Arabidopsis thaliana: one gene and its partners. The protein of the gene in region 2 interacts with the protein of the main gene of each other region in a pairwise test. Each region holds a gene or a part of one and is shown on either strand. Other genes may lie near its edges.

The links.
Region 1: the proteins of SHD (region 2) and AT4G24730 interact in a two-hybrid assay, tested with the Arabidopsis thaliana proteins (one study listed by BioGRID).
Region 3: the proteins of SHD (region 2) and PRXR1 interact in a two-hybrid assay, tested with the Arabidopsis thaliana proteins (one study listed by BioGRID).
Region 4: the proteins of SHD (region 2) and AT4G24780 interact in a two-hybrid assay, tested with the Arabidopsis thaliana proteins (one study listed by BioGRID).

The regions. Positions count from the first base shown.
Region 1 is NC_003075.7:12,750,467-12,757,432, forward strand, and holds AT4G24730 (manganese-dependent ADP-ribose/CDP-alcohol diphosphatase-like protein), read right to left. Parts: upstream 3,841-6,966; 5' UTR 3,545-3,840; exon of another isoform or gene 3,178-3,544; 5' UTR 3,166-3,177; coding exon 2,230-3,165; 3' UTR 2,062-2,229; downstream 1-2,061. Other genes in the region: AT4G24715 (high-affinity nitrate transporter-like protein), read right to left, coding at 199-406; FC2 (LAMMER-type protein kinase AFC2), read right to left, coding at 4,263-4,400, 4,480-4,582, 4,676-4,773, 4,845-4,909, 4,989-5,139, 5,225-5,316, 5,466-5,580, 5,679-5,727 and 3 more. UniProt on the Arabidopsis thaliana protein: Hydrolyzes ADP-ribose, IDP-ribose, CDP-glycerol, CDP-choline and CDP-ethanolamine, but not other non-reducing ADP-sugars or CDP-glucose.
Region 2 is NC_003075.7:12,549,224-12,558,788, forward strand, and holds SHD (Chaperone protein htpG family protein), read right to left. Parts: upstream 6,836-9,565; 5' UTR 6,629-6,835; coding exon 6,562-6,628; coding exon of another isoform or gene 6,558-6,561; intron 6,458-6,557; coding exon 6,340-6,457; intron 6,258-6,339; coding exon 6,104-6,257; intron 6,013-6,103; coding exon 5,932-6,012; intron 5,766-5,931; coding exon 5,654-5,765; intron 5,569-5,653; coding exon 5,442-5,568; intron 5,349-5,441; coding exon 5,210-5,348; intron 4,992-5,209; coding exon 4,877-4,991; intron 4,773-4,876; coding exon 4,579-4,772; intron 4,490-4,578; coding exon 4,274-4,489; intron 4,192-4,273; coding exon 4,026-4,191; intron 3,906-4,025; coding exon 3,764-3,905; intron 3,680-3,763; coding exon 3,529-3,679; intron 3,452-3,528; coding exon 3,047-3,451; intron 2,964-3,046; coding exon 2,679-2,963; 3' UTR 2,329-2,678; downstream 1-2,328. Other genes in the region: TLP1 (THAUMATIN-LIKE PROTEIN 1), read right to left, coding at 539-801, 1,195-1,845, 1,929-1,998; AT4G24200 (Transcription elongation factor (TFIIS) family protein), read right to left, coding at 7,704-9,565. UniProt on the Arabidopsis thaliana protein: May have a molecular chaperone role in the processing of secreted materials. Required for shoot apical meristem (SAM), root apical meristem (RAM) and floral meristem (FM) formation, probably by regulating the folding of CLAVATA proteins (CLVs).
Region 3 is NC_003075.7:11,644,419-11,651,696, forward strand, and holds PRXR1 (Peroxidase superfamily protein), read right to left. Parts: upstream 4,227-7,278; 5' UTR 3,895-4,226; coding exon 3,667-3,894; intron 3,546-3,666; coding exon 3,357-3,545; intron 3,256-3,356; coding exon 3,090-3,255; intron 2,605-3,089; coding exon 2,195-2,604; 3' UTR 1,691-2,194; downstream 1-1,690. Other genes in the region: AT4G21950 (uncharacterized protein), read left to right, coding at 23-187.
Region 4 is NC_003075.7:12,767,910-12,775,207, reverse strand, and holds AT4G24780 (Pectin lyase-like superfamily protein), read left to right. Parts: upstream 1-2,769; 5' UTR 2,770-2,980; coding exon 2,981-3,096; intron 3,097-3,375; coding exon 3,376-4,125; intron 4,126-4,216; coding exon 4,217-4,577; 3' UTR 4,578-4,987; downstream 4,988-7,298. Other genes in the region: RBP31 (31-kDa RNA binding protein), read left to right, coding at 7,256-7,298.

The DNA of each region.
Region 1 (6,966 bases), 200 kb from region 2:
GAGTCTAGAGATGTATAAACGAAAATAACTATTTTTTCCGTATTAAAATAGGTAATATATCTTTATACTTAACCTACAGTTAGAGCCTAGTGGGCAACTTCACTACTTATGAATACACACTTTAGTCGCGGATTTGAAAAGATAATAGATAAGGTACAAAATCTTTGAATTATAAAGAAGGTAAGACGGTTCACAAACCTCCGCTATCTTTAACGGGTTTAGCGGTGACCTCAATTGAGTTTTGGAGATCGGTGAAGAGTCTATCTTTCTTTCCTCCACTACTCGACTCGATGAGTGAGAATATGAGAAGTGATACGAAGAGGAGAGTGTGGATGGCCATGATCCGAATGAGAATGTGATCTTGGTAAGGGAGGACGACTAAATGTGTGTCACACATGTGTCTCATATTTATAGAATGCCCATCTTTAAATACATAAACGCCACTAGACGCCAATATTTGAACCGGCGATCATTTAGTGCGAAGAATTTAAGGGAATTTTCGGGCGCCATTACTCGGTAGTCGACACGAACATAGTTGATCTATCGAATAATGTTCAGTCACGAAAAACAATGCCCAAGAATGAAAAAAAAAAAAAAAAAAAAAAAAACTCCTCATCATACCAATTGGACTTACTTAGATCCCAATCCGGAAATCTAATAATTGATCATTCAGGAAGACATCTAATTCAGGAAATCCGGTTTTGAGTTTCTTTTGCTGAGATTGATTGTTGGTCCATCAAAAAAAATTATGTGCTAGTTTAAATATCTCTAGAACAAGTATGCACTAAGTTTGCTAGCTAAAGCAGTCTCCCAATAAATTCTCTTTATGATGTTGGCTTATGCAGCATTTTTGAATCACGCACTTGTGAATTATTAGTGAATATTACAAACAGGATTGCAACTGCTTCGATTCAACCCCGAACTTCTGTGAAGTGTAGACTCACCAAAAGGATTCAGCAAGACAGTTACACTTTCCTTACTTCCTAGGGAATTACTAAATTTGGAATCAAATTAGTAATTGCTACATAAAACGGGCTACAGTATTTGCTTTGCAATCGAACTCATAAGCCTTGTTGATATCAGAGGGAAGACTCTTCCTCCGACAGAAGGTTTTATCAAGAGAACAAGTACAAGAGAATTTTTATGGGGTTCTAAACGGATTAGGCACGGAACATGAGTCTGTGGCAACTGTGATAGAGCACTATCTAAATCTCTATCCTGGTCCTTGTTTTGATGATGTGGTGCATAAACTCACAGCCTTTGATTATAAGTTAATAGCCTATGCTAATTCTCCCTCTGAAGTCACTCCTCACATGGCATATCACATTGAGAAAGCATACTATACTCGTGGAGGCTATAATGATTCCCGTGGTAGAGGTTTCCAGCAACAGTTTGGATCAGGTTCAAGCACAGGTTCTGGATCTGGACAAAAACCTACAAGTCAGATATGTGGTAGATATGGGCACTCTGCATTCAAGTGTCACAACAGGTTTAAAACATGACTACCAGCCTGAAAATCTACATAATGCTCTGGCTGCTATGAGGGTGTCAGATCAAAGTCAGTCTTCCAGACACAGGAGCTACTGCCCACATCACCAATTCAGCTTCTCATCAAAAAAATGTCTGTTGGAGGAAGAGTCTTCTCTCTGATAGTTGATGACTATCTCATAGTCCAAGCAGTTAATCATAAACGAAAATCAATATTCTCCTTCCATTTAGCTCCCTTAACATCATTTGCCTCCACGAAATGGAGTTCTTTCAAAACCCTCGAGCAGTTTCAGACTTCCAGTATACAGAAAACAATCTAGTTTCTGCTGAAAACTTGATCTATTGTTCTGCTAATCAAGGTCTAACTGTTACTAATACATCTAAACTACAATTAACACAAATCTTATCTATGTTTCTTAAAATAATCTGCACTAAATCTATGAAGGAACATGACTTGAAAACCTATATTCATCACCTTAACACAGACGTACACCTAAAAATTCAGCTAGACACTACAAAGAGATAAATTTAGCTAGAGATTTCCTTTATTGCACAACTAAATCCAAAACAGATCCATCTGATATAGATTCCTTGTTAAGAACATATGGAAGTTCATACAAATAACTAGTAATCCAATCAACTGAAACTTATAATCATCTTATTCACAAAGCACCAAATACATAGAAATATGGTTGTGATTACAAACTCTGCATTTCAAATAATTGATCATTCAGGAAAACTCTAGTTCTCAAAATCGGTGCTTTGCATCCGATCAGTACCAACAAGAGACAGCTTGTTATCATATACATCGATATATCCAAACGAATACGTACCTGGGGGACACTCCAAGGCAGCTTCCAAGGATCTATGGTGAACCCCATGAGAATCAACAAAGTATCCTCCTTTATGATCATGTCCGGACAAACAAACTTTAACAGAGTCATACTTGTGTATAATGTTCATCACTTCATCAAAATTCCATAACAAAGCTGCTTTGGATGCCACACCAGGGCTCATAGGCACATGCCCACATACGATAACTCTCTGGTTTGAATTCGATGCATCCTGAAGAACACTGTCTAGCCATTGCAGCTGTTTCTCCCCAACACCACCATTATACTTCACAAATCTCCTTGCAACATCCTCAAGCCCTGCGGGGCTGTTTTTGTCTGTGTTTGGGTTCTTTTCTTCAAGTATTTTCAATGCAGCGATAGTATTAGGATGTTCCTGAGGCCATCCAACAGCACTGATGTCATAACCATCTAACACCACAACTCTATACTCCGGGGTTGGTGAGAAATCATAATAAGCATTGCCATCACGACCTGGGATCTTCAGCAACGGAAGCAACTCTTCGCGGGGGAGATTGTAGAGGCAGTGATTACCAATCATATGATACACAGGACCGTTGAATTTCTCGAATTCATGGACTAGTTTCTTAGTGGCAGCCAAGGATTGATCTTTGGGACAAAAGCCATCAACAATGTCACCCATGTTAATAACAAATTTGAGGTTACCATGTTGGTTCCAAGTTTCAACAGCTCTTTGAAGGACAAGGATGCTGTTTCTGTAATACCTAGGAACACCTAAAAAAGAGCGGCCATCAGAAATATCAGCATACTGAACATCAGCAATAACACCAAATGAGAAGAGAGGCTGTCTGGCTGCAGAACCCATCAACCTATTGCTCTGTGAACATCAAAAGTTATGTTAGAAAAAACTTTCACAATGAATAACATAGTTTAGCTTCACATATAAACCCTCAGGACTAAAAAGCCACGATTTTTGAAAACTGGCACATGAACAAGTTTCTGATCTCACAAATTTGAGCTGAACCTTTTATTAAACAGTAGTTGAAAAAATCACAAAAGAAAGGGTGGAACAATGCAATTGCAGGTATATTTGTAAGAATCTAATCCCATTCGTCAGAATTGTTTTCTTAAATCCATTGTAATAGAGAAATCGTAGACTCAATGGTCGATATCGGCGTAGATCGTGAAAATAAAACGAAAGTCGTATGGAAAATCAACGACATTTTGGTAAAAGACAGACTTACGACAGTAGAGTTTCCTGCGAGGATCAGACAAGGAATGCGCAGAGGTGAAGCAGAATCGGACAAGGCGGAAGAAGTTCTGGGTAAATTCCAGAGAAGATAGCTAAACACGGAAACTCAAGTGAAACTGGAGAATTTTCTTACAAATCGTGTAGTTTTTCTTTACGCTGGTTAAACTACATGCTGTTTCTTTCCGACGAATGCCAAGAAGAGAAAAAAAAAAACGCCCCGTTAATTTGGTTTGGGTTATTGTATCACTAATTCTTATGATGGGCTCATCAATGGAGGAGTTTCTTTAGTTTATATTTTAGTTTTGGCCTTTCATATTTTCTTTGCAACTTATCTCTTATTATACCATTTCTTCTTCAATATATAATCCAATGTAAATGCGTTATAAAATCCATTCTCTTAGCTTGGTGTTATGAAATCATTCAGTAATGAGTAGCAGCATTTTCTCTTTATGCATATACCTCTACTTGTAGCAGCACTTTCTCTTTATGCATATACCTCTACTTGTAGATAGAATCCAAAACTAAAACTCTTTTGAATTGAAACGATCCAGTTTACAAAGATAGACAAACAATCGCCTATCACGGTTAAAAAAAGAGTGATCTTAGCATATTTGTTAATTTATATCAGAATTCGTGGGGTTGTGGGGTAAAGACTTGCTACAAATCATACATATTTCATCCCTATTTACACTCGTCAAATTCAAGTCCCGCTATCTTCTCCTTGCGAAAAACGGATGCCTCAGAGCTTCACGAGCGGTTATTCTCTCTGACGGATCAAATCGCAGAAGTCCTTGCACCATATTTATTAACTCCCCGGCTGAGTGGTCCACATGTTGCATTATTAAATTCTGCAATACAGGCATCACCATTATTTTACAAACTACCATAACACTCCACCCAAACTCAAAATATCAACACTTGACCAACCTGAAGCCGAGGAAGCTTCAATACTGCCTTCAGGCTATCTCTTGAGGTTGCCCCATCTGGCCAATCCAAACGACCTCTTCTCACATATTTCTCTGAGTGCCGGCTTTACCAAACAACCCAAAAATAAATCCAGTTAAACACCCAACAATATATACAATCACTTCAGAATTCAGACCGTGTGTTTTATTCAACTCACTCCACTTTCTTCAGCATTTGTTGAGGAAACGGCCCAAGAACACGCTCCATCATCGCTAGATGCTCCAGGTTTTCATGTGTTTGGAACAATGCTTCACCCTACAAATCTCAAATCTTTCAATAAAAGACTCCCAAACATTCATTAACAATCAACTACTTCAGACACACACCGTGCACAACTCCACTATGATACATCCAACGCTCCAAACATCACACGGATAACTCCAGCCAAGACCTGCACACAAGGCAATGTTTCTCCATAAGTTTGTGATATCTAAAAATTTTAATGAGTTTTTATAACAAGAGCTACTCACCTAAAATGACTTCTGGTGCCCTATAATGTCTGGTTGATACAATGTAGGTTTGGTCCTGGCGCTCATAAGTTGTGCTACCAAAATCAATCACCTTTATTGCACTTGATTTAGGCACTCTTTTATAGCATACATCCCTTTGTAATCGGGACCCCTGCATCAGGAAACACAACCAAATTCCTTCAGCACTTAAATAGTTGGCCACATTAAGGTCACACACAGTTGCATTCGAGATATACCTTGTACTCGGGAATCTTCACATAGTCTGAGGAGACTAACAGAATATTTTCTGGTTTAAGGTCCGTATGAATCATGCGCAAGTCATGCATAACTGCAAAACAAAAATAGACAAGAAAATTGCCATAAGAAATGAAAAGAGCTGAAATTCAAAAACTAATGATGTAACCATCTCAGTGACAAGCAAAACTCAGATAAAAATGCACGAGCATGTAGAATGAAAAGACTGCAAAGACTACACACATGCTACACATTCCAAGAGTTGCCAGCCAATCTCACGGACAAGATCAATGGGAAAGGAGCGATAATTGTTTTTCCGAAGAAAATCGTATAAACTCGATCCAAGCTTCTCAAATACCTGTAGCAACCATTTTAAGTTCATCCACAAAATTCAACCCCAACTATTTCCCAAACCGGGGAAAATCATAGACATCACAAAATTGACTAAATACTTACAATACAGATATGGTTACGATAGTCAAACCAGTTCCGAATTTGTACACAACTGCAAGGAATACAATGATTTAACCTTTGCAAAAAAGAATCTTGGAAAACTATGCTTGACTTCATCAGATTAGTGATGCATGAAGAAAAAGTCAACAGACAGTACTTACCGATTGCCACCTTTGTCATGTTTACCAAGCTGTTGCAGCATTTCAATTTCAATCATAGCAGCCTCACGGTATTTCTTCACACCACGGACAATTTTTACTGCCACCATTTCCTTCCTCTCCCTATCCCAACATTCTAGCACTTGACCAAAAGTACCTACAAGGAAAATTTAGGAAATCAGATACGATAACTACACCGGACCTATGAAAATAACTTGTACAACAACCATAAATTCATACCTTCCCCCATTTTGCTATAAATTTTATCTGCAAAACAAGAAGAGCATAGAGAAATCAGAATACTGAAATCAAAACAATATACACAAGGTCCACCACAACACCTAGAGTTTGTTCAAAGCCATTGACAAAAAAATCTAGAGAAATTTAAAAGGTATCTTCAGGATTTTATCAAAACAGTTTTTTGGTAATAGAAAAGTGGGATTACAGCGTGGAGTTAAGTCATCTCCCAGTTCAAATATGTAATGTCCATCCTTATCATCTTCTCGCCATGGGGGAGAACCATTTCGAGCCACACCCTTAACACAAAGAGAGCTACTATTGTCTGAAGGAGCTCCGGAAGATGCAAAGCTTGATATATTTCCAATCTCTTGCCCACAAAACATTCCTACCTGAGCCTACACATATTCATGTACCATAACAGACAGATGAAAACCTGCCACTATCCTTCTACGCCGACTCGTTCAGAGTCATTTACTATCTTAAAACCTTAAGGGTAAATCCAAATCCAAACAACTTTTTTTGTATTCAACGTGCATCTATTATCTATTGTTCTTCAGAAAAAATCACGAAGTCACGATTATCTTTAACTTATAGAATTGGAGAGGGAAAGGCGAATCAGCCAACACAAAATCTTGCTCAGCTCAAAATTCACAAATCATGCATCAGATCAAATTTGGTTCACCATCTACAAACAAATACTAAAAACAAAACATACCACAGAAATTGAACCTAACAACACTGAACATCTAAAATATTTCAAGGACAGACCAAATTTAAATAGATCTAAAACACCACCTAATTCAATCACAAACTTCACCTAATCATACAGAATTTGGTTTCTTCAAATTGAATAATTGACAAAAACAAAAACATTGAGAAAACTGCAGATCCAG
Region 2 (9,565 bases):
GTTTAAGTGCAAACATCAGTATAAAGACACATAATCATCAAGCAGACCAATCAATAGATCTTTAGGAGATCTCATATAACACTCCGTCTACTTTCCTTTAGTCTTACCTCATTCTTTAAGAAAGTCTCCATATAGATGTTTGTTTGCCTTGTATCTTTTTTATTCTAGATAATATCTTGTACTTCTTTCCACCTTTGTTTCTGTTATCTTATAGTCCTCTATTTTTATTTTTGTTTCCCTTTCTTTTCCACTCCAAGTTTTTGCATTTCTCGTCATCTCTCCATCAATGTAATTCTTATCGGACACATCATCCATCATCAAAGCAAAACAAAAACTAATACTATATATCTATAAATACACGAGTCCTTTTCACTTGGTAGTATTTTATTATGTTGCTTACTAATTTGCGACTATAACACTTATCGTACTTCTACCCTAAAGTTAGTGGCATCTCATATACTTTGCATTTGGATACGGTTTTGCATGGACTTTAGGCTATTTTCCGCCAAAATTTAAATCAACCCCCAAATAAATTTGGTTAAATTAAATGTTCATCAATGTGCATAATCATAATCATGAAACATAAAAATGTTATAGGATAGAAAATATACACCCGGAAATGAGAAACAAAAATATCAAAAATGCAGAAGAAGAAAAATAGTAAAGATGAGTAAATATTGGGAAGACTGAACATTTGAGGAATCAGAGGTGAAGACATCGGACAACCACGTCGATAATGGTGACGGTGAGGTTTGTACTGATCCACCGCCATCTCTCCACCCATTCGCTGCCGATTTTTGGCTGTAACATATTCCAACTTTAATCAGATTATCAGAATAATAGTATATAGGACTAAATATAGGACTAAATTTTAATAATTTATCTGTGCTTCCCCGTTTCATAATGGTAGGCCTATGGTACGTGTTGTAATAACCTTTTTGTTTTCCTTTTCTTTGATGGAATGACTATTATAAACTCCTTTATTACGTGTAAAAAAAAAAAAAGTATCAACTTCTTTTTCTTAGCCTGGCTCAAGCCAATCACCTTACTTTGCTAGCTAAGCTCGTCGTGTGCATTTACCAAAAAGCAAGTGGGAACAAATAAAATGAAAACAAAAATAAAATAAGTTAACCTACCTAGGCAAGGAAGGGCAAAAAGTGATGGTGTAATCAGCATCAGTGCATGTGAACGTACTTGTAGCATCGTCGAACGCGTAGCTATATGATCTTGGACACGCAGATTTGAATATCTCCGAGTACATCGATGGTTTACACTCGGTGGGTGAGGCGTACGCGCCACTACAACAATATTCTGGACTACCAAAAGCCTCACACGCGCTTTTGCATGCTGACCCGGACCCGAACCGGAGCTCCGTTGGACATTTTTGGTTTAGATCCGTTACGCATCCCGTGGTTAAGCAAGTACCTTCTGACCCGCCACTTGCTTCCACCAACATGGGAACGTTGTAACCGTCCACGAGGCTTACGTCGTAGAAGTCTTGTTTACGGGCCGGGTCTGCTGGACCTGACCCGATTGTGAATTCGGCGAGTGTAGCGGGCGGTTTTGCTCCTGCACCGTTACATTCGACCTGGTTAGAGCCGCAGTCCCCGGTTAGGCAGGTGCCTTGTCCTGTGTCTGAGTTGAAGTTGCAACCGGTTCGTGCCCAAAACCGACCTGACCAGCTAGCTGGAGCTTGGAACGAACGTGAACCACCGGGAACGAGCTCGAAGCCGGTGGTGCCTATATCGCCGCTTCCGGAGTTGGACAAAATTCCCGGCCACACGGTGAAGCTGCATCGATTTACGATGGTTATTGTAGCACCATCACTTCCTACCAAATGCAATGCTTTAGCTATATGTTAATATTTACATTTTATATAGAAATATTCATACTGATATGAAAGTATGATAGATATGAATATTACGTACCATGGAAGAAGAGGAAGCTAAGGATGATGAAATAGAATGAGACATGAGAATGAAGGACTGTTATGATCATCACTGTTTATTTTTGTCTCTCTATTAAAAAAAAAAAGTACTTTTGGTGGAGAAATTAAGTTTGGAATATTCACAAAACGAAAGACCAAGAGAGAAAAGAGGAAAAAGAAAGACCAAGAGTAGAGTTTAAAGCACCTCTATATATACGTTGTCTCAAGGGTCAAGCTCAAGATATGTGATGATCTCACAAAAGTATTGACCAATTTCTTTTATGTTTTAAAGTGATACAAGATAAAACAACATCTTGAAAAGCCATGTTATCACGAATATATTGATTAAAGTCTTTTTCCATATAAAATCTATAGCTTTACAGATTATCTGTTTGAAATTTTTGCAAAAGTCATAAGTTTTCGAAAATAAATTTTGTGGAAAATAACACCGAGTAATATATGCATGATAGGTGGCCAAATTAGCTAAAGAGAGTGCATATTATGGTACCATATCTAGATAAACTCGGACAATCTAGATAAACTCGGACAGCAGGACCATTAATCTTGAAAGATAAAAAACTCATACATTGAAAAGAAGAAGTTTAGGTTCCTTGATCTCTAGAATGCAAGTAGTGCGTTTACATAATCCATCAAAAACTGCTTAATTAAACTAATCTTGATATTCGAGTAAAACGATGTTCTGCTTTAAACTAAAGAGGTAAACACAAAGGAGAAACATCAGAAGTGAAATCTACAGTTCGTCCTTGGTGTTCTCTTCTTGTTGCTCAACGGGTTCGGCTTCAATGTTTAGACCACCAGCCAAGTCATCTGATTTCGTCTCAGTTGCCTCACTGGTCTCTGGTTCCTCTGCTGCCTCGATTTCCTCGTCGGCTACTGCATCAGGGCTGATGTTCAGACCGCTCTTGACTGAGTTATAAATACGGGCAGCAAAGTCTTTTGGGTCGGTGAGTATGAATCCACTCTCGATCAAAGCTGTCTGGTACATGAGCTGTGCTGTTTCCTTCACACTCTCATCCTGAGAGAATTTGGTATGTTAGTTTATTTCTCTAATAGACAGTAAGTAAAAAAAAGAATTGATGGGTCTTATGTTTGTTTTACCTCTGGGTCACTTGCAATTCTATCCTTGAGTTCTTTGATGATAGGGTGTCGTGGGTTGATCTCGAGGACTCTCTTTCCGCGCATGTAAGCTTGCTTATTAGCATCCGAGAGAGTTTGGGACTGCATGATCCTCTCCATATTAGCACTCCATCCAAACTTGGATGTTACGACTACACATGGAGTGTCAGCCAAACGGTTGCTGATTTTGACATCGTCTACGTTTTCGCTAGCGAGATTTCCTTTCCACCACTTTGTTAGCTCCTTGAATGCTTCCTTCAGCTCCTTGTCTTTTGAATCTTTCCCAACCTTCAGTCCTTCCTTGGACACATTCTGGAACTTTTTGTCTTCGTAATCCATCAGGTATTGCATCAAGTATTCATCAACTGGGTCTGTGAAGAAGATGACCTGGGAACACAAGTATGAGAACGTGTTATGCGAGTTGGAGATCATTTAAAGAAGAATTATTCGTGTGCAATGCAAACCTCATAGCCCTTCTTGATGAGCCTCTCCAGGAATGGAGATTTCTCTAGCTGTTCCTTGCTGCTTCCTGTGATGTAAAATATGTCCTTTTGGCTCTTTTTCATTCTCTTAATGTACTGATCCAGGGAAGTCAATTTTCCATCGGACTTTGTTCTGAAATAGCAAAATACAAATCTTTAGCCTGCTGGTGCTAATGAATGGACAGACGTGTATTAAAAAAAAAGTAACAGAGCTTACGTCTCAAAACGAAGAAGTTTTGCCAAGCGGTTCCTGTTAGCAGCATCCTCAATGATACCTAGTTTGACAGACTTGCCAAACTCGTTCCAGAATTTTGTGTATTGACCCTTCTTCTCATCGTTCTCACCAGACTTCTCCACATCTGCGTGCCAACAAGTCAATAAGCTTAGACCATGTTTCAGAAAGATGAAGCTACCAAATGGTAAAAAAAAGTGGAACGGTCAAAGTGGATTGATACCAAGAAACTTGTTTTATGGAATACCTTTTTTCTCATCATCATGGATTTCATCAGGATCTTCTTCAGCAAGCTTGCGGATCATATCAAGCGCCTTTCGGATAAGCTTCTTCTTAATTGTCTTTAAGCTGCTGTGTTGTTGAAGCATTTCTCTTGATACATTTAGAGGCAATGTGTCAGAGTCAACAAGACCCTGCAAAAGCAACTCACGTTAGGGATTTAGCCCATAAATTTGTATTGAAAGAACCCCTTAGTTTGTCTTTCAAGTAGTTTACCTTCAAGAAACTCAAATACTTAGGCAGAAGCTCATCAAATTCATCTGAGATGAACACCCTCCTGACATATAGCTTCAAGTTCGCCTTGTTGCTGTTGTAATAGCTCTCGTATAGATCATGGGGAGCTTTCGGAGGAACATACAACACAGCCTTGAATTCAACATCACCTTCAGCATTAAAGTGACTCCAAGCCATTGGCTTCTCGTCGGTAAAATCCTGTATAACAACTGGGGTCAGGGAAATCCACACGAAAATTTTACACCTAGTATGTAACAAGTATGATTTAGTTAACGCATGGTTTTCACCTTTGAGAGAGAGTGGTAGAATTTAGTGTACTCTTCCTCTGTCACCTCCTTTGGACTTCTCAGCCATATAGCCTTAACATCATTCAGAAGCTCCCATTCATAAACTGTTTCTTTCACCTTCTTGGTTTTCTGCTTTTTCTCACCATCTTCCTCCTCAGCATCTTCTTCCTTTTCTTCCTCGGTAGAGGTGGTTTCTGAAGTCAAGTACCATTACCAAAAATCAGGGCTGCCTAAACTGAAGGGAAAAAAGATAACACTGCAGCAGAAAATTATAATATGGTGTTTCATTAATACTCACCAGTTTCCTCATCAGCTGATTCATCTTCCTCAACTGGGACCTCGGTTTCAACCTCTTTGCTAGCCCAGAGGGAGATAGGGAAGTTAATGAATTCAGAATATCTCTTCACCAATTCCTGTAGTAGACAACAATGATCATTAGCAACCATAATGAGAGGATAAACAGAAATATTGAATAAGCAGTGCACTGAATTCATAATAATGCTGAACCACTTCCCCTCAGGAGAGTTTGGGGTTCTCTACAACAAACCCTGGGTTATTCTGGTTCTTTGCATTGCTTAATTTAGGTTTGTAACAAAAGAGAAATTTACTTTCTTATCAAAATATTACCCACCTTAAGTTTACTTTCTTCTAGGTACTCGCCAGCTTCATCCCTAAGATGTAATCTAATCTCGGTTCCACGTCCAAGAGGCTCATTCCATGTATCCTCGGAAACAGCAAATTTACCGTTAGCCTTTGATTCCCATACATACCTGAAAACGGAAAAGAAGTTATCAGAAAAGCTTTTCAATGATTTTACATGCCCACAAGTATATTGCCAAACAAAGCCCTCTAAATCAACTTACTGGCTGTCATCATTGTGCTTGCTAATGACTTCAATGTAGTCAGCAACAAGATAGGCAGAGTAGAATCCAACTCCAAATTGTCCAATAAGGTTCAAATCCCCACTTGATTGCATTTTCTCAACAAAAGCTGCGAAAGGCAAGATCTTAGAAATATGGAATTTATTGATCCATACTATTATGCAGGACAACGTATCACCACATAAGTAACGTACCTGACGTTCCAGATTTTGCTATGGTACCAAGGTTCTTGATTAAGTCTTCCTTAGTCATACCAATTCCCCGGTCTCGAATAGAAAGAATCTTCTTGGCTTTGTCTAGCTTAATCTGCATACCATAGCATAGTTACGGAGGTAAGAAAAAAGCTTACACTAGACACAATTCCAACGAAAGGCTAAATTTACTGAGATCAGCATTTGATAAAACAAATCGATGAAACTCTATTTTCAACACTCTCAAGCATAAAAATCATATTGAGAAACATGTAGCTAACCTGGATCTCAAGCTTAGCAGTGTCACCTTCACCCAAAACGTCTTTGTCAGTGAGTGCAAGGAACCTAATTTTGTCCAAGGCCTGAAAATCACCAACACAGACACTTATTAGTTCCCCTATTTAACGAGGTATCCCAAAAACTCACTAAAACAATGTACACGAAGCTGCTTACATCAGAAGCATTGGAGATCAACTCTCTTAAGAAAATGTCCTTGTTACTGTATAGAGAGTTGATAATAATGTCCATAAGCCGAGAAACCTCAGCTTGGAACTCAAACTTCTCCGCGTTACTGCGAAGCGTCTTCTTTGACATCGACTCAGACTCTCTGTCGATCAAACGAATTCGAATAAGGCAAGATTCAAGCAATCCAAGCGAAAGTTCTACCGTGAAACTAACAGAACACTAACCTATGAACTACATCGGAATCCGTCGATAAACCACCGTGACCACCAATTTTCTCCTCAACTTTTGGTGGATCTGTAACATCATCGGAACTCTCTTCTGCATTCGCGTGTAACTTTCTTCCTATGATAAACACCACAGAAATATCGCCATCATCAGCATATGAATCCTAAGCAACACTTATATCTATCTACTCAAAATCAACACATATATACATCGAAACGTACCTTGATCTGGAAGAAGAAACAGAAGCGAGAAAAGGAACAAAACGGACACGAGCGTCCTCTTCCTCATTGTTAGATCGGAGCCTTGGTTCTCTCAGTCTTTGCTTTCGGGTTACTCAGTGATGATGATGATTCAGCTCGATAGATCCGTATATAATAGGAAATGATTCAGTGATGTGTGAACTGTTTAGTTGCGTACACTTTAGTTTCTCCTGATTGGTTAGCTTCGTCATGATTTGCCAACGTGTCAGATCTAACGGATCGTATTGTGAGATAGCCACGTGGTAGTTTTGTATTGGAGCAAGGTTTTGTTCTTGACGTGGAGCGACGTGGATTTCGGGGTTGTGGCGTGGATGGACGACTTTTAAATTATCAAAGTATGCTAAATCAACGGTGATATTCGTTTACGTCCTAATTGGGACGATCGGACGGCTATATTTAGTTGTTTTACATGTGACAAATAACTATTGGATATTAGGATGCTATGCTTTTATTGATGTCGGATACAAAAGTAAAATGATGTTTTTCTTTGTACAACGATGATTATGCTTGCCAAGGTTATTACGTTTGGCTGGCTTTAATCGGTTGATGGCTAAAGTCTCGCCTAAAGGCGATACAATTTGTCAATTTGGGAAGATCATAGTCATCACTCATCCGTAGTAGCAATATGTATGCGCGGTTCAAAAATGGTAATGTCTATTTGGTCCCATTATTTATTGAAAGATACAACACGTGAGAGACTTCCTTCCTCACCAGAGACCTCCTTCGCTGCTTTCTTCCATGAACAGTTGTTCAGAAATGAGAGCATAACATATCGACGAATGGAACGAAAATGGACGCAACAGATTAATCAAACCACTAGAACCTTTTCTGTATCTTAAAACTATATATTTATTTATGGAGAAAAACCCAACAAGGTTAAAAAGAAGCTTGACATATACCAATGTTTGAACTAATCCTCCTATATGTTATGAAATAAAATAAAAAACCTGAAAAATGGGAAAACTGAGGAAATAAAAAAAAAAGAAGGAAAAGTTCAGCAAGACACTTTATAAGTTACCTCAAAACACTTGTCATCATCCTTTGACCAATCAATCAATTCATCAACCTATTCAAGAACCCATCTCCACCACTTTGTAGATCACTCACCTCCATGGAGGAAACTCCCAACGTGGCTCCGGCTCTTTTCGCTTTCCACCAATGCTGATAGAAGAACTCGATGAGGGCTCTACATTTGCTCCTGAATGCTCTCCCATAGCCCCGCTTTGTGAAGGTGATAGAAACTGCCTCAAATTTAGCGACTCTCTGTTTCCTATCTCAAGTCCAAACCCAGAGTTCTGATCAAAGTTTGGCCGCATTGATCCATTCGTACTAGGCGATCCACCCGCCAAGCTCATGAACATGTGTTGTTGAGGGAATGGTGGCTGCACATACGGCGCTGATCCGATTATTTGCGGCATCATCACTGGGGTACCTCTTGAATCCACCATGTATGGAATAGCAGTTCCAGGAACATACATGGGTGATGACATTGACAAACCAGGAGGACCAGTCAATCCGTTGTAGCCATACATAGGGGCTGGAGAAAAGGAGACACCAGGGGCTAGACCCAAAGAGTTTCCCGTTCTTCCCATGTGTAAACCTGTTGCAGGCTCGAGGGACTTGCCATTGGACAAGAACGAAGCCATCTGAGGTACAGAGTCTTTTCTGTCAGCTTCCACTTTTGTACCCAAGATAGATATACCTGGTTCTTCCAATTTGTGCCCCCCATAGGAGGCTGTACTCCATGGGTGCCGCCCATAGTAGGGACCCTGATCACGTGAATCAATGAAAAACTGTGGCCTGTCATTCAAATCAAAGTTTACTTCCTTGCCTGATTGTTGAGCAACTGACGATGAGGAGACAGGTGATGCGCTTTGCTGACCATTGTGACTTAAAAACAATCTTGTTTCCATCTTCGACTCAGAAGGTGGAGGCATCTCATCGTCCTCGTTCATACAATTCAAATCCAAGTTGAACTTGCTTGATCCTCGCAGACTGGCTTCATGTGAAGACTCTCCACCCCTAGAGTTTGATGAGGAGAAAGGAAACTGTTTCCAAGGAGTAAGATCTTCAACTTGATCATCTCCTACCTCAGCCACGTTCAGATCGATACCACGAGAAATCACCTGCTTTTCTCTTAAATCCCCACTAGGAACTTTATGAGGTAATGCTGAGTGAAATACACTCGTAGCAGCTGATCCTTTCCCGCTAAGAGATCTTTCCAAATGCCACGGTGCTGCTGCAGGCATTGCAGAAGATGAGACAGAAAATGAAACAGACATAGGAGCAGGGGTTGTAGATGTGGAGGACATAATGACATCTGTTTCATCAGGACATATATCTTGATTAAGATCAAAGCCACATGGGCTTTTCTCTCTGCCTACTTCAGATTTAGCAGCTGTTGCTAGGTGTCTTTCTTCAACATCACCACTTTCAGGTTTGTCATCTTTCTCATCCATTAGATCATCATCTCCAACATGAGGTTCCTCAAAGGAATGGTTTTCAGTCACTGATAATCCCTTAGATGGAGAACCTGTATGTACATCATCATCGCGGGAGTATTGCGAACCAGACTGCCCGCTTTCATCGGATAGTTCTTCTGAAGAACTATGAGAAGGTTCTCCAGAGTCCACTTCTCTTGCGACTTCCTGTGCGACTTTGGTAGCGACCTCCAAGGCATCCAAAATACCAAGATCAATATCAGTAGTTGTTTTGTCAATTGCTCCAAGGCGCTGGGATATGGTCATTGATCTAGAAGAGATGCGTTTTTTTCTCCGTTTTACTCTCCTCTTTTTGTCAGAATGACCCATATCATCTTTTCCTTCATTGTCAGCAAGACCAGTTAAATTGTCACTCTCAAATTTTCTACTTCTACCAAGGCCACCTGATAATCTTGATGAATTGTCAGAATCTTGATTGTCCGTCATATGAGTCAATGAAGACACCTGTTTGCTATTATGGGCTA
Region 3 (7,278 bases), 910 kb from region 2:
GAAACCTGGCAGATGCTGACGCATGCATCTTTTGGGACATGGGGAGTTACCCATCCCTAATGGTCTGGATCCTTGTTTAGTTAAAGAGAAGATCAACTCAGAGCTCATGGATCTAGGTTGTAGGGGGGATGTGTCAATGCACGCTTACGGTAATAAGGATACATTCTCGGATGACACAAAACGTTGACTCTATATATTGACTGAGAACGTTGATCCTAGCAAGAGAGCTTCGTGGAAGTTTTGTCTCATTGAAAATAGATCACTGTAACTATCAGTGTTTGTCATGTAGTTGAAAAGTCATTTATGGCTCCACCACTCTTTATGATCATGAGACTGGGAACAATCGCTATATCAATTTTCTTCTAAAGAAATAAACAAGGAAGATAAATCACTTTCATGGAAGTGGTGATCAAAGTAAATGTCGCAACATCAAAATTAATGAGTTCATACATGCAATTTTACAGCAAGGAGATCAAAGTTTTATCTTCGATCGGCTTCATTCCGTTGGCAAAGACACATTAAATCTCATGGACAAAGTCAAAATATTGAACCCAAATGTAGTAACGTATGACCTAGGTACGCCTTACTGGCTTGGTCCATCATTAAAAGTTTGTATTAAATCATAAAAACATAATTTGTTTTTTGTCAACGATAAAACAATTATCATATAAACATCATTACCATTATAAATATTATGGAATTAATTTAGTTTAGTTTCGTTTGATTTTATACAATTTCCGCTTTAATTAGCATGAAGATGATCATCAAGAAAAAATGAGTTCTTTTTTTCCGTCTCTAACTAAAGATGGAGTGACATTATTCCTTTCTTTTTTCTTGAATGTTCCAGGGAACTCTAAAATTTCAGTGTTGATGCATTTCCGTGTAACATAGATCAAATTAATTAAAGTTGTTGAAGCTTTTTCACTGATTGAACATTAAACGAAACAAGGATTAAAGTAAAAGATGAGCATTTTGCTTTGCTTGGTGTATAAGTCATAAAAGCTATTAGGGTTGTTGTCATGGGCCTGAACTATGTTACCTATCATTTAAAACTAAATGTAGCCCGTTTGGTAAGTTATAAAATAAATAGACTCCAAAAGAACCGATCCGTTTAGTCCTTTTGAAACATATGCTGAAAAATAAAATGGATTCAAAATCGACAGCTAGAAATAGAATCTAATACACAAGGCCACAAGCTAACAAATGTCGACAAAATGAATAAATACAGAAGCTAACAAGTTGATGCAACTTATAATTTTCTATCCCAATTATTTTGTAGAAAACAAATGAAACTCGCTGACACTCTACATAATACGTTAATGCTGCTCCAAGTGTATCTGTGGATGTTTAAATAAATTTTCGGATTTGAAACTGCAAATATCTTAAACCATAGATCACTGCATTTGTTGTCTACACGCCACCACCATTATTGTCTCTCACGTCTAGTTTTAAGAAAAGTTAAAGTCTACCTAACGTTTTCTATGTATTTTCTAATTGAAGTGTTTAAGTACAGACTATAGTCTATATACCCTCGAAGAGAATCTCATCCGTTAGATATTTTTTTTCTCTATATATAACATGTCTCTGTCCTTTACAATTCAATGCGGGTCATGTGATTAAATATTACTACGCCTTTGTTTCTTTTTGCTTGCGACTTTTGGCTTTACTCTTTAGCTTGTGGCCCGTTTCTCTTATTTTGAATTATTATTTTTGGAATCTTTTTCATGAGTCATATCATATTCAATTATTCATGTCATTTACTACAAATTTTTAAAATCTTTGGTGAGATCAGTAAAATAGATCGATATCACCCATACACAGTACTTATGTATACCATGCATGTTGAACAAATTATCAAAAGATTCGGACATGTTTACTTATCATTACATCGTCATACATGATACCCAACACCATCCATCATATCATACATCCTTTCCATTATCATTATATCACCCCCACCACAAACCCAAAATCAACGAAGAGCCAACATTTAGATTAAATAACTCAAAGCCACTAACATCATAATTAAAGCATTAAGGCTGAACACACAAAAGAAGGAGGTGGTCACTACCATGATGTATTCATCATCACCCTTTCTTTGATTTAACTTAAAAGATTTTTTTATTCATCTTGGTTCGTACCAAGCAGAGAACTCAACACACCAGAGCCCCTGTCTTTCTCACTTTTTCCAACTTCAATGGTTCTTGTTTGCGAGATTACATTGCTTCCTGATCTCACCCTTAGAGCCAGTCAAGGGGTTGTTCTCGGATAAGATCTGGATTGCCCTAGTGAACTCCTTGAAGAAGTAGGCCTGGTCCTTAGCCATCTTCTTAACGATTGGTCTGGTTCGTTTGTCGTGTGCGAGCTGATGGTCCACAAGGAGCAAACCCTTGTTGTCTAGGATGTTACGGTAGTAATTGTTGTCTAGCACCATGGGGGTGCCACGGTCGTTACGCACGTACTGGACCGCCTTTGGGTCAGGGATCGAGTCAGGACACTTGTGTAGCATGTGAGGGACGTGGTCCGGGTTTAAGGACGGGTCCACCTCAGGGTACAAACGATGGACCAGCTTGACACAGTGAGTTCTTCCCACGCTGTGTGACCCTGCACGTGTCATAAAAAAAAAAAGTCAAAATCTTTCAGTATCGAACTTAAAAATCTAACAAGAAACTTAAATTCCAATCGCCTAAATTCAGATCCCATAAGAGTAAAGTCAATTAGTTTGATTAGTATGTTTAAGCATGCATGAGTTTATTGACCAAAATAACCTTGTGCTAGGCTATTGTACCGGGGCATAAACAAGGATTATCCTGTCTTATTTGTTAGTACTAGTGATAGATCGGATAAGGATAACTTTCAAAGTTCAACTCAGATCGCATACACTCCTTTTGTGATTCAATAAAGTTAGCTTTAGTAGTGGTTCATTAGTCATAAGAGTGTTTCATGCATGAGTAAATTGACTGAAATACCCTTAATCTAAGGCAGCAGCAACAAAATATCTCGGTTGGTCAAGAGTTTTTAATTTCAAGCGTTACGTTTTTTCCGGAGCCTAGTGACAAATAATCAAGGATGAGAAAGATAAAAGGTACCTAGGAGGGCGACGAGGCCGGGAGTGTCGATACCGATGGATTTGAACTTTTCAAGAACGACGGAGATACTCTCGTTGTGGTCGGGAAGATATGACTCGAGCATATCCGTCCTGCTTTTAAGTCCATCTCTCCTTCCTGTCTTCAAAGGAATATAAGGTCCTCCTACCTACACCAACCCCACACAGTTTTGTCAAAAAAGGAAAAAAACAGCATGCAGTTTTGTCACCAGACAGAGAAAACGGCACGATTATTATCCTTTAAACTTACTGCTTCGATGCCTTCTCTTGCGGACAAGACGAGAATGTCAGAACATGAGACAACACCAGGACACTCCCTCTCGAGAGCTTCCTTGATCTCCTCGATGTACCTAAAGTTTCTAAGTCCGAAGCTCCTGTCGTGTTCTTTCTCTCCTAGCTCTCTTCTTGTCGAATCCAGCAAAAGCGACGCATCACATGACTGTTTAACCCAAAAAAACAGAGCAAAACAGAGTAAAATCTTTAGATCTGTTTTAGGTAAAATATCAAAACCCATCATGCAAACATATGAAAGATCATTGTAAGAGAGAGAGTTTTCGGACCTCAACGGCGCAGTCATGGAAGATGTTACGGAGCCAAGAGAAAGCGGTGTTCTTGTGGCGTTTGTAGAGGAGTTTGACTTGTTCACGGACGATGTCTTCGGCCTGAGGACACGTGTCCTTGTAGAAGTTCATCATCAAACCTGGCTCAGCCTCTGTTACTGCTTCAGATGTTGCAGAGAGTGCCCAAAGGCAAAGTATCGCCACCATCATCACACCTTTGCCTCCCATTTTTTTTCTCTATCTTTCTTCTCTCACTACACCACTCTTGAGTTGAGTCAGTGAGCAAGCAATGCAGCCTCCTTAAATAAAGGGAAATGGAGTTTTCTTTATTTATTTTTCATAAAATAAAAGAAGCTTAATTTGAAGGTTATAGTAAATTAAAGGCAAGTTGGTGAATTTGCTACTGTTTCTATATGTTTAAGTACGTGACAGATCATATATCATTAAGCTTTATTCATTTTCACTTTGAGAAACCAACAATATTATTATAAGACTACAATAATTGTATGTTCCGTTCAGTCGTGATTAAGAATCTATATTCAATGAAAATTGAAAAGCGTAGACTTATTATAAGAAACTTATGTAATTTTTTTTATTATTTATCAAATTGCAGACACATTATAAGCTTTAAACAGAAAAAAAAATCATACTTAATTGATGCGACAGCTAAATTAGTGTAAGTTTGAATTTGAGAAAAAATAACAAAGTTTTTCTACGTTTTTTTTTTTTAATGTATGAACTTTCATATGGACTGTTGCCAAAACATATATTTTCCAAACTGATAAAAATTAATTTGTGGAGTTTCATTGAAATTACTCAAATGTATGCTAGACGTTCTACTGGAAATTTAATTTCGGTAAGAAATCTAAAACCCAACTTTGTTACTATTTCGAAGGACGGGTGAGTGACCATAGATCATGCTAGTTAGAGTCCTACACAGTGCTATGAGAAAATAAATAAGTTTAGGTTGGAGATATTAATGTGGATGGCTTGTTAGATAGTTTACCTCATTTAGAAGAGTATTTTGGTTAACTAAACAATTCACATTTTTTTGTCAAACAAAAAACCAATCACTAAGTTTTGGATTTTGGTCTCATTGAGTGGCATCAGTGGCCCCTATGACTAAAAAGAATCTTACAAAAAAAACTTATGCTTCTTTTGTTAATAATACACACAAAGGGGGCGGCTATAACAAATAATATTTATGGGGTGGAATAGCTAAAGTCAAAATATATTCATGGGTCGATTTGCAATTACCTGAAACATTTGTTATTGTTAAATTTTTAATACAACGGATAAACCGCTCCTTTTAGGTTATGGAATCTTTCTTTTCGATGAACTCAAGGTGGATTCTTATTTTTTCAAGTACATTTCGATTATTTAGTTCAAGATATAATTCCATTTGTACATATTCAATTACTTTTTGTTCTGTAGTTATTTATATATCCAACTATTTTACTTATTGTAGTAATTGTCAGTAGATTCGTATCGTAAAGTCTTCTCAAATATTGAATGAATCTTGATCCATGTGATGTAATAAAACACGTTCACCACTCTTCACTCTTGAGTGTTCCCTATACTTTATCTGTTTGTGGGTTGAAGTTAAATATTGAATTTAGTTTAGAGTACATTTTGAACTTTTCCTATGTTTTAACATAAACGTTGTTTTGATATTTTTCACATAAACTAAGAAGGTAAATAGGTATACTAATATGTCCCTGCAAAATTAAGAAAAATCTGAAATTATGTTATCTTTCATATTCTTAACTAATTTTCATAGAGGTAAACTAGATATCTAATTAAAAGCTAAAGGCTCCACTATTATTTGTTGCGGAACTATTATGTTTCTCGTTTCAGTAACAAAGGACTAATTTTGTTTAGAATGATTAAAACTAAATAAATATGTAACAGAGCTATAAAATGAGAGGACATTACTACTAATTCGATTCTTCTTCTTTTCTTAATCCTAGAATTTTTTTTATTTTTTTTTTTCATCTGGGGGAAGTATCGGTGCTTTTACCAAGATCACATTGAATCTGCAGATTCAAATTCACTTCAAATTTGGATATTTGGATTTTCCAATTTTTTTTTTAAATGAACAAATTTGATTTTTTCAATTAAAAATGAATGAACTGTGACCACCGACACTTTGTTTCCTTATCCAAGTGTCGCCAAATGAGTCTCTGGGGACCTTCTAGTGATGTCACTCTCTAGCTCAGTGGCTCCACGAGTGCTAAACACTAAATACTGATTAGCAAGTTCTAACTAAAAATTGACGTGTAACATGTAAAACTGTTGTGTTCATGGTGATGATAACCGGTTAAGTTCCAGTGTATAGGAAACCAAACAAACCCGGTTATCAAAATTGAATTAAGACAAGTTAGTAGTTAATCATGGATCTTTCATCTGACAAATGGACACTGTACTCATCCGTGTCCTCAACGTTGCATTCACAATGGGGCCTGCAAGATTCAATACCAAGACAAAAAAAACGTTAACTAATATATTTCTCTCACCAGACTTTTAAAGCAATCTAGGCTCAAATTCTTAGTTTCCAGATATACTGATATAGTGAAGAATATGAACTCTGAAGTAGTTGCCATGTCTTCTAGTTCCCTTCTTTAAAAGTAGCAACCGCTATATATAGCAAAGAAGGTTCCAAGGACCGTATAAATTCCATGTGATATGAGCTAGTTGAAGGATTTAAGCATTATAAGAACAAGATTTGATCGGATAACACATTTCTCTTTAGTTATAGATGTGACAGCTTTATTTCATCTCTTTGTAAAGTTAATTTAGCAACCATTTTTTTTACTTTCAGTAGATTTAAAGCCATCATTTAATCAATAGATACTGTGTGGATTGTCTGAGGAGGTTAGTAGGTTACACTTCCCTCTTAAGAGAGATATGAGACAAAACCACCCAAACACACAAATCTCAACATTAACCAACAAAATCATACCCAATTTGAGTAATAACTATGGGCCTGAAAGGCCCAATGAAGCCCATCACAAATATCCAGTGAGCCAATGTTCTGGATGTAAGTTACATATCATGTAACAGAAACCGATTAAAGACAAAGTGGGGCTTTTCTTTTGTGGTACAAGGTTTGTGTCTTTTGTGGTTAATTCGGATCCCGTGGCTCACACGTTATCTCCTCACTCACTCTAAAGGAGAGAGATCTGTGACATCGATGGAAATTCCAGGGGACCAATTGCTTAGGTTAACGACTAAAGAAGGGAAATTAAAACTTGCAAGAAAAAGCGGCTCGGACACAAACAACTGATCTCTCACCGATTTTGCAGTTTGTCAGGACCATGTACTGAGATTCTCGATAACTATGATCTGAACAGAGTTTTATATGACGACGTAAAGTTAATTAAGAACACATGAGAGATTCTTGAAATGCATGAGATTATCTTGTTGCCCTGATAGATTCAGAGTTACTTGTTGTTACAAGGTCTACGAAAAAGTGAATAATTGAGACTCTTTTAAAATAATTTCGTGCATACAATGAATCAGTCAAATTTTCATTATTTTTCGTAAGAAACTGTAATTAATTAGGAAGAAGTGAAGTTGCACATATCGTGGTATCCACTATTACTAGATATA
Region 4 (7,298 bases), 220 kb from region 2:
TTAGAAAAACTTCAAGTTGCATTTCTTCTTTTAGCCAATCGCACTATCTTCCGTGAAAAGGTAAATAATATATAGCTTTATGACAATTTCACAAAAATGGTTCGTTAGTTTTGACTTAGCATTAAGATTTTTTTCCAGAAATCTAAGTATTGGTAAAATAATTCTATATCTACTACTAGGTCAAAATACAATTCTATATTATTTAAAAAATTGTAACTGAGGTAATTGATCAAATTACCAAAATGATGAAAGAGCTAGTTAAGAATTTAACAATGTACAAGTTTTAGTGAAATGGTCAAAACTAAATATCCATTCTTTTGGCCCGTTAGCATCATTAAACCAACCACTCAATGGAGACATGGAAGATCAAAATTCGTCAACCCTAGCGCTTTGTTTCTCTACAAGGATCAAGTATGGAACAACAACAACCACAAGAAATCGAAATGTGCTAAGGTCGCATGAGTTCGCTAGGAATAAGTCTATAACATTTCGTTTTGTCAACAAAATAAGATTTTAGTATATATATTATTTACAATTTTACCAGACTTCCATTGTCAACAAATGACATTATTGTTGTTGTCGAAGAAAAAACAAAGGTGACACTATTTGCTGTTTTACTTTTTATTTCATGAGGACGGAGGACCCATTTTTTTAATTTAGTTTAAAAGAGCAACCGTATCAGTTGATTACGGAGTCCAGCAGAGAAAAGCATGCTCAACTGTCAAAAACAACCTAACAATTAGGGAATCCCGTAAAACCGGCAAATCACGAGGGCAGCATTACATTACATTACATTACATGTCCCACAAATCACTTTCCCTCCCATGCTTTTCCACTTCCACCTATCATTACCAACACCTATTACCTAAAGGACTTTAAGCCAGAGAGTTTTCAAATCCCGTACCGTGATTGGTGCACTATGAAGTGGAAAGGAATACGATGAAAAACAAACTGTTTTCTCAATACATTTTCACCGACACCAATCATGAAGCAAATAGCTGCAATTAATTTTTTCTACGTTTTAAGACAAGAATATATATTAAACTACTTATTTTCTTCTACATCTTAATTAAGTAGTTAGTATTCTTACAAACACTTCTGATTATCATTTTTGTGTTCAATATATAAACTCCTTTCTATTTAAAAAATTCCCTCAACACTATAATATCATTCAGTCCCTATCTAAAAGTTAGGTGTCCATAGAGATATACGGATATTGAAATTTAAATGATATATGGCGGAGATCATGCAAGGACAATTATCTTCAATAGAATCATTACGACTTATTAAATGTGTGTTCCCGACATTTTATTACATGATTCTACTGTTTTCTTTCTCATCATCTCATTCCATTATTTGTTTTTCTATTTGTGTTTCTAGATTACTTGACATGTACGTTAAATCATTTATCTTCCTTTTCCCTTGATATCCCACTCGAATGACATGTTGCTGTAGTACTATTACTATGGTTGGAAATCTTATTTCTCTGAATAATAAAAGTTTATATTCAGATAACTGCTATGATACGTAAACTTTCCAATGGTTATTTAATTTTGTTTTGCAATTAATATATGCAACTATAAGTAAAGCCTAGTGAATTCTTTGGATCGGAGTTATATGCTATGTGCTAATAATACAAGGAACCCCGCAATATTGATATAAAATTTACCAAACTGTATCCCACACTTTAAAAGTTGTCATCATACTTTATGTGAATGCAATAGGATCCAAATCGTTTGGGGAAGATTTTACATTTTAAATTCTTATATTCCGCAAGTGCCCAATGGTGCCGCACGAATTATTTAGTGTATCAAACTATTGGTAGGAGCAATTAGTAAAGCATATACAGTGCAACAATCTATTTAAAAGTATAGAAATATCTAACTAAAACATATTTTGAAGATTCCCTCGTCCTCCAATCGTCTTCCATCATCGAAATATCCCTTTGAAGAGCTAAGAAACTTGGTGGGAACAAATGATGCTATTCGATAATTTTCTTCGATTCTATGGTATATTTGGAAAGATTGGAACATAATTAATATATATATCCCACTTGATGCATAAAGAATGTTGTTTAAGAAACGGAGTTCTGAGGTAACTGACTGACAAGTGCTTCGACTCAACCATTACTACTTACCAAATCCACGGCTCTTGGCATACCCCATACACGCTTAGTGGATATGGTTGAATCGCTAGTTCCCACCACCAGCTTCTTTATCTTGACTTAAAAGAGGGCACGTCGATGTCTTCCTCCCCTACACGACAATGTAGAACATGCATGTTCAAACAATTTGCAAATGGAAGATATATTGGAAATTTGTGAAAGGCCATGAGGTAGATACACAATTAAATTCATGAGTTCATAGGTCAGAACAAAGCTGAAGCATGTTCTACATGCCCAATCAAGAAAAAGTCAAACTTTTCTCAATGCCGACTTTACTGTTCTAAAATGTATGAAAATACACATTAATATACAATTATAAATACATGCAAATATATATTGTTATAAACTATATAATGGTTACTTGATATGGATCCTTATACTTAACTAACTTAACACCAACTCCCTGGATCTATAATGTATATATTGGGCTAAACAGGTCATGTGGAAGTTATTTGAAAAGTACACCATATCGACCTAATTAGATTGGAGGCTTTTTATTTAGTTTTTTGTCAACAATTAGATTTGAGTAACGGATGTAACCATATTATTTGTTCCTACCTCCTAGGCATTATTATAGTATAAGGTTTTTTTTTAACTAAAGATGATTTAAAAAAAAAAAAGTGGGACCTAAACCTTAAAAATTCCAATAACAAATAGTATAGAGGTCCTTTTTCTCTTTATATAAACCCCCAAAATTTCCTCTTCTCTGTATTCTCCACTCAATACTTATTTCCTCTGTCTTCCTTCGCTTCCCTCTTCTCTCACCACAATCCGAGAGAGAGACAGTACTGTAATCCAAGTGAGAGAGAGAGAGAAATGAAAATGCAGACGAAGAAGCTCTTTATCACCATTGTCTCCTTTCTTCTCTATGCTCCATTGTTCTTATCTTCACCAGTTCCTGACCCTGAATCTGTCGTTGAAGAAGTTCACAAGTATGAATCTTTCATCTTTTTTCCTTAACCCTTCCTTCACATTTACTTGAAACCCACTTCTCCTTTAAATTTCTGCTTTTTATGGAAACCCAATTTGAGCCTAGCGTTACAAAGTTGTCGCCTTTACAAACCAATTTGAGCATAGTGTTACAAAGTTCTCACCTTTACAAACCAATTTGAGCATAGTGTTACAAAGTTCTCGCCTTTACAAAAATGGGACCATTTTGAAAAGTCTCTGTTTTTCTAACAAAAGTTTGCAATGTGTTTGTGTTGTTGCAGGAGCATTAATGCGTCGGTTGCAGGAAGAAGGAAGTTAGGTTACCTCTCATGTACGACCGGTAACCCAATCGACGACTGTTGGCGTTGTGACCCTCACTGGGAGCAACACCGTCAACGTCTCGCTGACTGCGCCATTGGATTCGGCAAAAACGCCATCGGTGGCCGTGACGGTCGGATCTACGTGGTCACCGACTCAGGAAACGACAACCCAGTTAGCCCCAAGCCCGGAACTTTAAGACACGCCGTGGTCCAAGACGAGCCACTCTGGATCATCTTCCAACGAGACATGACGATTCAGCTCAAAGAAGAGCTAATCATGAACTCATTCAAGACCATCGATGGCCGTGGTGCTTCCGTACACATCTCTGGTGGGCCTTGTATAACGATCCAGTACGTGACCAACATTATCATCCATGGGATTCATATCCATGATTGCAAGCAAGGTGGCAACGCTATGGTGCGGAGCTCTCCACGGCATTTCGGGTGGAGAACGATATCGGACGGTGATGGTGTCTCTATCTTTGGAGGAAGTCATGTTTGGGTTGACCATTGTTCGTTCTCTAACTGTGAAGATGGACTTATTGATGCTATCATGGGCTCGACGGCTATCACTTTGTCTAACAATCATATGACACATCATGATAAGGTCATGTTGCTTGGTCATAGTGATACTTACAGTCGTGACAAGAATATGCAAGTTACCATTGCTTTTAACCATTTTGGTGAAGGCCTTGTCCAAAGAATGCCCAGGTAAATAAAAAATCACTTTGTGTTAGTAGTTAATGTGATTGTGACCATGGATATAGATTAATTTTGGGACCATTGTATTGTTGTTGTGTAGGTGTAGACATGGATACTTCCATGTGGTGAACAATGACTACACACATTGGGAGATGTATGCGATTGGTGGAAGTGCTAATCCTACAATCAATAGTCAAGGGAACAGATTTTTGGCACCCAATATCAGATTTAGCAAAGAAGTGACTAAGCATGAGGACGCGCCTGAGAGCGAGTGGAAGAGATGGAATTGGAGATCTTCCGGAGATTTGTTGCTAAACGGTGCGTTTTTTACTCCGTCTGGTGGTGCAGCCTCGTCTAGCTATGCAAAGGCTTCGAGCCTTGGGGCTAAACCGTCTTCTCTAGTTGGACCATTGACGTCTACTTCTGGTGCACTGAATTGCCGTAAAGGTTCCCGTTGCTGATTGTGGCTTAGTGGTCACACTTAAGTTTTTACCCCATTATTATATAGGAAAAGGCAATTAAAGCCACCAATTAAGGGGGATTAAGTAGTGTAGTAAGACTTTCTTAATCCCTTGATTTACTCTTTTTTTTGTTTGTTTATTCGGGTAAAATTGAAGGAGAATACAACCTCTGGCTAGCTGCTCTCTAGGACCCTTCTTAAGGATTCTCTGTTTTAAGGAATCTTTAAATTAGGTTAAAGTGTGGGAACAAGTGCAGATGTGTTGATCTTGATATTAATATAAATATGATTTTGTGTCTTTATCTTTTACTAGTATTATTTTCTTATGAGCATTGCAATGCAAAGACATAGATTAGTCACAAAAATTAGTTTGAAGTATAAATTTGCGTACACACATGATGGAGAGGTTAGTTAAAAGTGTGCCCATTTGGCAAGTCAATAATGGCTCTTTGATTTTCCAAATAAAATGACTTTTTATTCGGAAGTTTGTAATGTTATGTAAAATGGTAACTTTTGGGTCAAAGATGTTGGAGCCAGTCAATGTTTGACCAACTGCCGCGACTTTTTTTTCCTCTGGCCAATGCATCGATTCCGGTAAATTAAAAGAAAAATTACCCTTAAAAATAGGAAAAGAAAATCCTAGGCATGACAATGAGAGAAGAGAAAAGTGAAGTTGATAGATTTTGAATAGAAAAAAGAAATACTAAAATTTTCAAAAGAAAGATAATTGGAGCAGTCAATACCACAGTAGCTCTACTTTTGATGGGTTTGTCTCATATTCGTGTTTTGACTACTGTCCACTGATTATGGGATTTATTTAAAATTTGAAAGTAACTAATTAAACAACTAACCAACTTTCTTTGTGGCCATGTGCACATTTTCTTTTGTTAAAGATGGCCATGTGCAACATGATAATACATCTAGGAACGAAAGGAAGAAGAAAACTTTGAAAGTAACAAGTGGTCGCAACTAATGATGTGATGTAGTTGGTGTGATTAGTATGTGGCTGGTTTGATTTGGTCAGTCAGTGAGTATTAAATGTTAGTTTGCCAAGAAAGATTTTTTTTTTTTTTGGTCATACTGTATATAGCATAAAACTAGGTAGAGAATTTCCTTGTTATGAAAAAAAAAATCTTTACATTTGAGTTATTGGGGAACGAAAGAAATTCCTATGGAGCAAGAAGGTTTAAGTGGCCATGTTATGAGTTGTGTGCGGTCACGTGTACTGGTCAGTTAATTTAGTTGTAACAATCGATTATATTTGTTCTATTATTCTTTATATTTCAGTGATGCCGTAACAGTAAGAAATTATAGTTAACTGAAACCAACAAAAAGATTCAGAATTACTGGTGTTATTCAATTATGGAGTTAAAGTTAATTCTTTAAACTTTAGATTTGTTTTCTGATATTGCTTTTAAGAATATGTTTGTATGAATTTCAAAATCTCTGCAATATATCTTGGATTTTGATTCTAATGATTTACTCATGAAACTCCAAAGAGGTTTCATTTCAAATCAATTAATATACAAAGATTTTACAAGACTTTTAGTTTTGAACAACATTGGATTTTAATGAAATATTTAAAATCTTAATTGAATAACACCAAACTTTAAAATCTATTAAGCATGATTTACAAATATGAGTTCCAATAACACTAGATTTTAAAGCTGGATTTAGAATCATTAGTTGAATAACATTGGATTAGTGTTGGATTTCAATTCTATTAAAATTCATTAACGAATAACACCCCCTTAAAGTTAACTCTTTCAAAACCGATCATAACGCACACAAGCCTCCACCGAAATGTTTGACACCATAATATTTTACTACCGAGTTCGCAAGGCTAATATGTATTTCCTTTTGTAATTTTTCTCTTTATTCGTATTCGAGAATAAGTGGATTGTTCTTCCGAAAGTTAGATAGATCATTATGAGGTTGTTCTTAGAGAGCTAGAAAACTCAAAACAAGTTTATCAAGTCGATCAACTCTTTGATAAACTCAACAAATAGTTATCATTGCTCATTATAAGATTGAAAATGAGACTTTGTATTGTGGAAAATAAAATGCTTACCTCAAGTGAAATTTTAAAGTTTATGCTATGATGTTTGTGATTTCGCAATTATATGATTTAATGATATTAAATAATCAAATAAATAATAATTCATTAAAATTCACATATGGTTTAAATAGGTCTAAATGAGTTTATATGGGTCAAAATAATTTTGATGGTTCTAAATGGGCTTCAAATTTAAGTGGGTTTATATTTACATGAGTGTGTGTGTTTACATGTAGAGGGGCTTACCCAAATTAACATCCAAATTAACATAGAGTAATTTCCAAAATGAAGTAAGATTAACATTCAAATTGTGACTAGAACTTTGATTTGAGTTATATAGACTTTGTGTATTATTTTTTTATAATATAAACTTCGTTTTGATAAGTTTATATAAACCTTGTTTTCGTAAGAGATTGTGAAATTTTCTTTGCAGAGGGACATGGTTATTTTTTGTCTTTGGTTCTTGTAATGAGATTTTAACTATGGTAAATCTAAGAGCCCATTTGAAGATGATGTCTCGGCCCTCCTTATCCTTATCTCGCCCACCGTTCTAAAACCCTTCCCTTCCTCTTCTTTTCTCTTCTCCTTCCACTTCCACTTCTTCTATCTCTCACAATTCAGCAATGGCTTCTTCTATAGTTACCTCTAGCTTGAAGCCTTTAGCCA